Ovis aries: one gene and its partner. The protein of the gene in region 1 interacts with the protein of each later gene in a biochemical or structural test. Links are inferred from orthologs where the notes say so. Each region holds a gene or a part of one and is shown on either strand. Other genes may lie near its edges.

Region 1 (3,907 bases):
CAGATATGGGATAGGCATTTGTACAGGGATGTATGGTTTACTATGCTGAAACTCCCTACAAATTTAGAGAGGCAGAATTCTGCCTTCGGGCACTTGGCCAATAAAAATGTCTTGTCAGCTAATTTGACAAGGCAGGTGAGAAATCTGGTTTCGAGGGGTAGATTCCACGGAGTGTGCTGTTACCTTTGGCATTTCTGCAGGCGACAGGGCTGTCAAAAGCAGTCTAGAACCTGGAAGGGATACTAGCGCGGGCTGTAATACCAGTACGTACTGTATGCAAATAAGCTTCAAGTGTCTAGCACCACTGCTGAGCCGTACTGTGAGGGGACAGGCAGAATAGCCAGAGTGCAGGTTGGGGCCTTCACTTAGGAGACTACCACGGGATCCGAGAGGACTGTTCGGAGGTCTCTGTAGACAAGGCAGTGATCTATTAAGCAATGGGGCAAGCAAAGAAAGCAGAAACCGGTCATCTGAGTAAAGAGGATCACGAGAGAAAAGGATCACGGATCCACTCTCTGCGAGCAAGCAGAGCAGAAAGTGATCACAAAGACAGCAAATCATAACTCAGGGATGCTGAACAAGGGAGTCTAGTCTGGTCGTCCAGAAGAGGGTGGGCGTGAGTGGACAGCGGTGCGGGGGGGGGGGCACTGGGGAAGGAGAGTGAGGCACCCGCATCCCGTCTGCTCCCTAAACCCCGCATTCCCTCCACCCTCTCAATGCCCGCGGAGTTGGAATAACCTTCTGCGTGCTCTCCGGCAGTTGAGAAAGAAGATTTGGCTCTCCTGGGATTGCGAGGCGCCCTCCCGCCACCGGCTCACCGTCTGCTGGGGGAAAGCCTAACGCGTGAGACTGAGGTGTGTGAGTGAGAAAGTTATGCTAAGGGCTCCTGGACCGCCCTGGGGCGAGCTCGGGCAGGTGCATCTGTACCCGGGCTCACACCCCTCTAGGACCTGGCCGCAGCCAGAAAATTACCCGGGCAACGGCGCCGGCTGAGTCCCGGATGTGGTTGCTAGGGCCGCAGTAGGCGGGACGGGGCCCGCCCCCCTGGAGAGGGGACCTCGCGGAAGGTGCGCTGGCACCATCGAGACGTGGCTGGGCTGGCCAGATTGAGGGAGAGAGAGGCCGTCCAGGGCCACGGACAACGCTACTTCCGGTCCCCTCACTTCCGGCTCCGCTGCTCCGGGTGCAGGAGCTGTAGGCCGCCGCCGGTGGAGAGGCTGCCGGTCCGAGTAGCCTCGGAGGTTGGGCAGTGTGAGGCTGTGACAGTTGCAGTTGCTCCCCGCCCCGGAGGAGCCGAGGTGCGTGGCGGGAGGGGAAGAAGGAAAAGGCCCAGGTCGCGTTTCCGCTCACTTCTGGCCAGGGCTGAGGCGACTTCAGGGAGCAGAGGCGAGGATAATCCTCGACGTGAGTGCTGCCGGCTTCCCTGCAGACAGGTGAGGGCGGAGCTGCCCGGCTGGGAAGGAGGCGGGGTAAGGCTGCTTGGAGCTGGTTGCCCGGCCGGACACGTTGCCTCTGGGGTTCGCTGTTCCGTACTCTCACAGGGCACTCCTGTCCTTAGACTGTGTGTGCCATCTCTCTCTACCCAGGTACTCGGCCTTGGATTTCTACCCCCTCGTCCCTCTTGTCACGCTGAGTGTGCCCCCGAAACAGCCGGGTGAAGAGGTAGGACCGGCCCTCCCAGGGCGGCACCCTCCCGGTGGTGAATGCATTGAGTGGGGAAAGGGACTGCAGGATCCGAGTCTTTTCGACTGAGTCTGCGAGTGGGCCACCCTCAGGTTTGGTGTCCAGCCTGTATTGCTGATCTTCTTTCCCTGCATCCGCCACTTCCTCTCTCCCGCAGCGATAGTCCCTGCTCAGAGGTTCCTCAGGCTGTGGTGCAGGGAGGAGCCTTGCCTAGGAAATGTCCCAAGCCTGACTGTGCTGGTGAGGACGTCCAAGGAATGCTGGAGTTTGGGAAGGAAGTTGTGCTGTCGTCTCGTCCGTTCCTCTTTGCCAAGTTACTACTGTTTACGTGTCTAGGAAAAAGGAAAGAGGCTTTTGTTGCTGTTTTTGTTTTTTTAAGAACAGTTTCTAGACCCTTTTCCCTTTTACTTTATTTTAGTATTACTTCCTTTGTGTTCTTATCCGCCCTGTTGAGCTCTTTGATCTCAAAAAGTTTGTACTTTCCACTTCCTGCACATCCTTTTAACCATCCCCCTTTTAGGATTTCTGTCCCCCTCCCTTCCTTTTCTCCTAGATTAAAACATGTAATTTCTCTGAGTCGGTTCTTAAGGAAGAAAAAGATGGACGATTTGAAGGGCTTTTGTTAAACTTGTGCTTTCACCTGCAAAAGTGGCAGGTGTGTGTGTGTTCCCATTTGCTGTTTAATTAACCTCACTGGTGTGGGAATGTGCACAAGAATTGGTTAACTCCTTCCTGTGTTAAGGCTGTAGGAGGTGGCCCTTTTATTGCTGCTCTTTCGATTTGAAGACAACGGATTACATGTCAGTACTGTTTTAATCCCACTTTTGTTTTTCCTTGCTCAACCCTCCCTCCCAGCCACCAGGTCTAACGCTTCTTAACTGAGAAAACAGCAAATATTTCTAATTTTATTTTATTTTTTGGATTAAAATCTCTGCCTCAGTTACTTTCCTTCTTTTTCAAATTGATAAATTAGTTTGCCTAAATCCTGGGTCATGCCTTAGGGAGTCCATGGTCTGTGAGTTTCAGGGGACTTCCTCATCCCCACCCCCGAAATTATGGGCAGAGTTTTGTTTCAGTGCATTTTCTCCCCTCTGAAGAAAATTCTTAAATGAGATATATAACCTCTAGTAGATTAAAAACCACTCCTTCGGCAATGTCTTCTTGAAGTTAATGAAAACCTTTTGTGTGTGTGTGTGTGTGTGTGTGTGTGTGTGTGTGTGTAGCTTTTTTTTCTTTTCAAACTCTACATAGCTAGTTTGGGCACCATGGAGAGTAGAATGCAGAGATTCTAGCTTTATGGTGATGAAATCTCTAGGTACCTCAGAATTTCAGTGTTTCTAAATTCCTTCGTAGACCTAGAGAAGGAAGTAAGGCTGCCTACTTATTTAGTTCCTGATTTGTGGTTTTGAGGTTTCTTTTTAGGGATAGCTCTTTGTGGCCAATGTTGTAGAGATCCAGTGGATTTATAAATTGATAGGTTTATGATTATTGAATACATATTAAATATCATGAACCCACTGGGTACAGCTCAGTAAAAGTTTAAACTTCTCCTGCACTTTATTTTCATTTTCTTATTTTTCACCTAAGGTATCTACTTCGGCCTTCAGCTTATTTAGAAAGGGCAAAGCATGTTTCACTGGTGTGGTCCCTAAGTCTTCTTGCTGCTCATCTTGACATCTCCTTTCTCTCCATATTACCTCTAGATTAAGAATTTAATGATAATTCTCTTTTGTGAATAAATTAGTATCCTTCCAAACTTAATGTCAGTTCAGAGTGCATATTGAAATTTGCTGATTTGATGAAGTGTTTGTTGATCAAGGGTTGACCTTCTATAATGTTTGATGCCTATTTTATAGAATGTTTAAACTTGAAGAGAACTATACAGCTCATCATAGTCCATACAGAGTGACCAGTGTCTTCTGCTCAAAAATTTATTTTCCGTCTATCTAGCATCCTTACTTTTGGGGGTGGGGGGCAACAGAAAACATACCTTTATAAAAAAATCAACCATGCTAAATTGGTTTCCTTCTAAGGTAACGAGGAAGCCAGAAGACTGATACCCGGCGCCGTCCGTCTGTCTGCTTGCTGTGGGCCGGGCATCGTGCTGGGTGCTTTGTGTGACCATCCACCTCATCCCACCCTCGCAGCAGCCGTGTAACTCAGCTGAGCTTTTCATTTCTGTAGATTAAGAGGGGCTCCTCAGGTGGTGCAGTGGTCAGTAACC
Region 2 (3,907 bases), on another chromosome or scaffold:
CAGAGTTATCTACCAGTCTAGTTCTTCTTGGAAGGAGACAAGAAATAAGGCCCAAAAAAATCTAATGAAAAAAATCGACAATTTTGGCTCAAGCTTTAGGGAAGAGCCATGTGTTTCCTTATACATATGGTCCAAACTTACAATGGTTCCACTTAATGCTTTTTTTTTTTTACTTTATGATGGTGCAAAAGTGATATGCCTTGAGTAGAAACTGTGATTTGAATTTGATCTTTTCCCAGGCCATGTGGTATGACTTTCTCCTGTGATGCCCAGTAGTGGCAGTGAGTTGCAGCTCCTAGTCAGCTATACCATCACAAGGGTAAACAACTGACACACTTACAACCATTCTGCTTCCCACTTTCAGTATAGTATTCAACAGATCACATAAGACAGTCAACACAATTATAAAATAGGCTTTTTGTCAGATTATTTTGCTCAACTGTAGTCTAATGTAAATATTCTGAACACGTTTAAGGCAGGCTAGGTTAAGCTATGATGTTCAGTAAATGCACTTTCGACTTTAGATATTTTCAACTTACAATGGGTTTATTGGGATGTAACCCCATTGTAAGCCAAGGAAAATCTGTACTGCTGTAAATGAGGAGAAAGGGCATTTCAAGAACCTTCTGTGCTTAGCATTATTAGTGCCCTTCTTGTATCACAGCTGTGACTGTTCCAAGGTAACGCTGCATGTCTAGACCAGGTGCAAAAATGAGTGTGATGAAAGTGGGAGTAGGCAGGAACAGAGAAACACAGGTGCAAAATCCCTCACTTTCCTTGTAATACTAAAATTCATACTTGAGGTATACTGCCTCAAACCACACTTCTGAATATTAGGCCTCAACTGTTTATCTTTCAAGTTCCAACTTCCTAACTGGCCCAGTGTCCAGTTGTTTCCTTCAGTCTCTTAAATTCATCACTCTCCCTCTTCCCTATGAAAAAAGATCTCCTGATTCAGAGCTCCCACCCCCACCCCCCAGCAACCTAGCCTTAGCAGTGAGTAGCAACACTGGTGCACTGAGGGCTCTCGGAGGCCTACACCTATCCCTGGTTAAGAAATGAAAATGAGAGCTGAAGGAGTAAGGTCCAAAGCAAGAGATGTTCACTCCTTCTCTGGCTTCCTGACTGCCCAAGGAGCCCCAGTCTCCACTGCGCCCACTACGCCGCCTCAGTCCTTAAATAACAGGCAGAACCCTGGGGCTTCTCACCTGTTCCCACTGTCTCAGCCCTATTCCCTAGCTTCCGCCACCACCGCCCGCAGATTCCAGCCCCCACATCGGACCCCGCCCGGACTTCGCCTCCAATACCGACTGCTTCTGCTGCAGCCGCTGCCATGGTGATGAATCTCGCGAGATCTGCCGCTCGCCGGTGCGCAGCTCTCGCGCGATCGGGGAGGTGGGAAGTATCCCGGTCTGGGGGTGGGGGTGCGCCGCACAGCTCCTGTCGCCGTCGCTGCTTCCGGTGCTAGGTGGAGGGCAGGAAGGAGGGAGCCGGGAGCGAGGCCAGGGGAGCAGCCGCGCTGAAATCGGCTGAGGGAGCCGGAGAGAGTGGAGCGAGAGCCGAGCGGAGCCTGTGGGGGCGGAGGCGGCGGCCGCAGCGGCGGAGCTGGGAGCAGGAACAGGTGAGGGGCTTGGAGGAGGGAAGGCGGGTCCGGGTAGAGGAGAGGCTCAGGGTGGGGGCTGCGAGGATAGAGTCCCCTCGCCCCGCTCTCCGCTCGCTCGCCCGCCCGGCACTGCCTGGCATAGAGCGGTGTGGTCCTTCCCTCCCGAGAGCTCGGGGAGGGGGCGCCGGGCCGGCCACACGCCTGCCCCCGCATTTGAAGGACGCTGAGCTGGTGTGGGGGTGGGGGGCGGTTTTGTCCTCCGCCTCGCACAAGGGGGCGACCTGGGCTGCAGTGAGGAGCCCCTCGCCTGCAGGAGGTGGGCTTTTGAAGGGTCGGGGTTGAGGGGGAGGAAAGCAGTCCTGGGTGAGGTGACATGGGGGCGGCGATGACTGTTTTGTGTTCTTTTCCTATTAAAGGGCTAGGGAATAGCGCTTTTTCCTACCCGCTTTCCGCCTTCACCTTGGTAATAGACCAGAGAGAAGCCTTGCTATGATGACACCCCTCCCCCTATCGTGGGGCAGGGGTCCGTAGGGGGGTTAGGGATTAACCTGGAACACAGGCTAGTGGGACACCCCAGGGGCACTAGCCCCTGGTGGAGGTTGAGCTTTCGGGTCCTGGGAACCGCATGTTGAGAAGAGGGCAGCAGGTGGGGAGCCAGAAGAGAGGAGGCAGCAGAAGGGGGAGGGGGATCTGGTCTTGCTTAGAGAAGAGAGGTGGTGCCTTCCTCCCCCAGGCGTAGCGGGGGCGGTCTCACAGGAGGAGGGAGCTTCTGGTCGCCAGCTCTGAGTTTCGGTCTTCCAATCCGCTTTCTTTCTTTAGGAAGTACCAGGATTCCCGGAACCGAAAATGGAGCCGTTGCTTACACCAGTGTTTGAGGGAAGAAGGTGGGGGTGAGGGGTAGGATGGAATTCCCTGTTAAAACCGGGCCACTTGATTAGCCAAGTTGTAAGTCCTCTTTGGGGAGAGTTCCCTTCTTTCTGGCTTGTATTACCGCTGGTCTCCCTCTGGCTAGGCCTGGAGGACTGTGGTATGTGGTCAGGAGTGAGAAGAAATAGTGAGGTCATCGGGGGAGGAAGAAGTGTAACTTAAAACGCGTCTCCGTCTCTGTTGGATTGGGTCACTCCTGGTCTATGGCATGAAAGTTTTATTTGGTAGGAGATCTGCTGCAGGAGTCTGATTGCTTAGGTCAGTGCAGGTAGGGTCTGCATACTTCTTCCCCATCCCTATTCAGGTGGTGACAGTATTTGCTACCATTTTGTCTTGAGCTTGTTGTTGGGGTGTCTCCACTTGCTATGACTGGAATGGGTCAGTGAATTGGTCATTGTGCATTAGACTTGGGTTTGAATACCATGTCTATAAAAGCTCGTTCTAAGAAAGAAACTGATCCACCTTTTCACAGAATGGATCTTTGACCTTGGATTCAGCTTGGAAGGGTCCTCTTGTATCACATATTAACATTCCTCCTGCCTCCCGGCATAGAGTTATTGTCTTGGGTAGTAAAAAAAAAAAAATTTTTTTTTCTTTTGTAGTCAAATTTTTTATGCGTATGTCTTGCTTTTCCAAAGAGATGAAACTTTGAGTGCAGGAATTGGATCTCATCTTGTGTCCCTCACACTGCCTGGGCACACAGTAAGCTCTCATGAATACTGAATGTGAATAAATAGAACTTAGGTTTTCTTTTCTTTTTTTTAAAAAAATATTTATTTATTTATTTGGCTGCACTGGGTCTCAGTTGTGGCACTTGGGATCTTTAGTTGCGGAATGCAGGATGGGCATGGTAACTCTTAGTTGTGGGATCTAGTTCCCTGACTAGGGATCAAACCCCGGAAAGTCCTGAACTCCGGATTTCTGACCACAGTTTAAGGAAAGAGAAAGAGATGGCTTGGCTGTCATAGAGAGTTCCTGAAGATAGCTGAGTGAGGGTCTAAAGGTCTTTACCCTTTGTAATTAAGGTCTTGGTCTCTCCACGTTTCCTAAGAGGCACAAAAGAGTCGTGGATAATGAGTTAAGACCCCCAAAAGAAAAGTGTTAGAACACAGAGTCATTATTTAGCAGAAATCCTAGATCTCCTGCTTCCCTGTTTTGGGCAAAGGAGTCTCTCCTTTAGACCTAGGTCCTGCAGAGTTGTCTGCAGATTGAGTTCCTGATAATTATGGAGAAGGGAGCCAGTGTATGTATCTGGTACCTGGCATAGAATTGGTGGCAATGAATGGTAGCTGCTATTACTAAACTGAATGCAAGTGTAAGGGAGGACAGATAGCAGGCTAGAAAGAGTGGAAGTGAAGTCTTCCGTGCACGGAGTCA

Evidence for each region.
Region 2: the proteins of ARFIP1 (region 1) and ARF3 form a complex in vitro, tested with the Homo sapiens proteins (2 studies listed by BioGRID). The link is inferred for Ovis aries from reciprocal best matches to the Homo sapiens genes ARFIP1 and ARF3.

The regions. Positions count from the first base shown.
Region 1 is NC_056070.1:5,073,710-5,077,616, reverse strand, and holds the start of ARFIP1 (arfaptin-1), read left to right. Parts: upstream 1-1,161; 5' UTR 1,162-1,298; exon of another isoform or gene 1,299-1,662; intron 1,663-1,715; exon of another isoform or gene 1,716-1,775; intron 1,776-3,907. UniProt on the Homo sapiens protein: Plays a role in controlling biogenesis of secretory granules at the trans-Golgi network. Mechanistically, binds ARF-GTP at the neck of a growing secretory granule precursor and forms a protective scaffold.
Region 2 is NC_056056.1:137,259,991-137,263,897, forward strand, and holds the start of ARF3 (ADP-ribosylation factor 3), read left to right. Parts: upstream 1-1,521; 5' UTR 1,522-2,487; intron 2,488-3,907.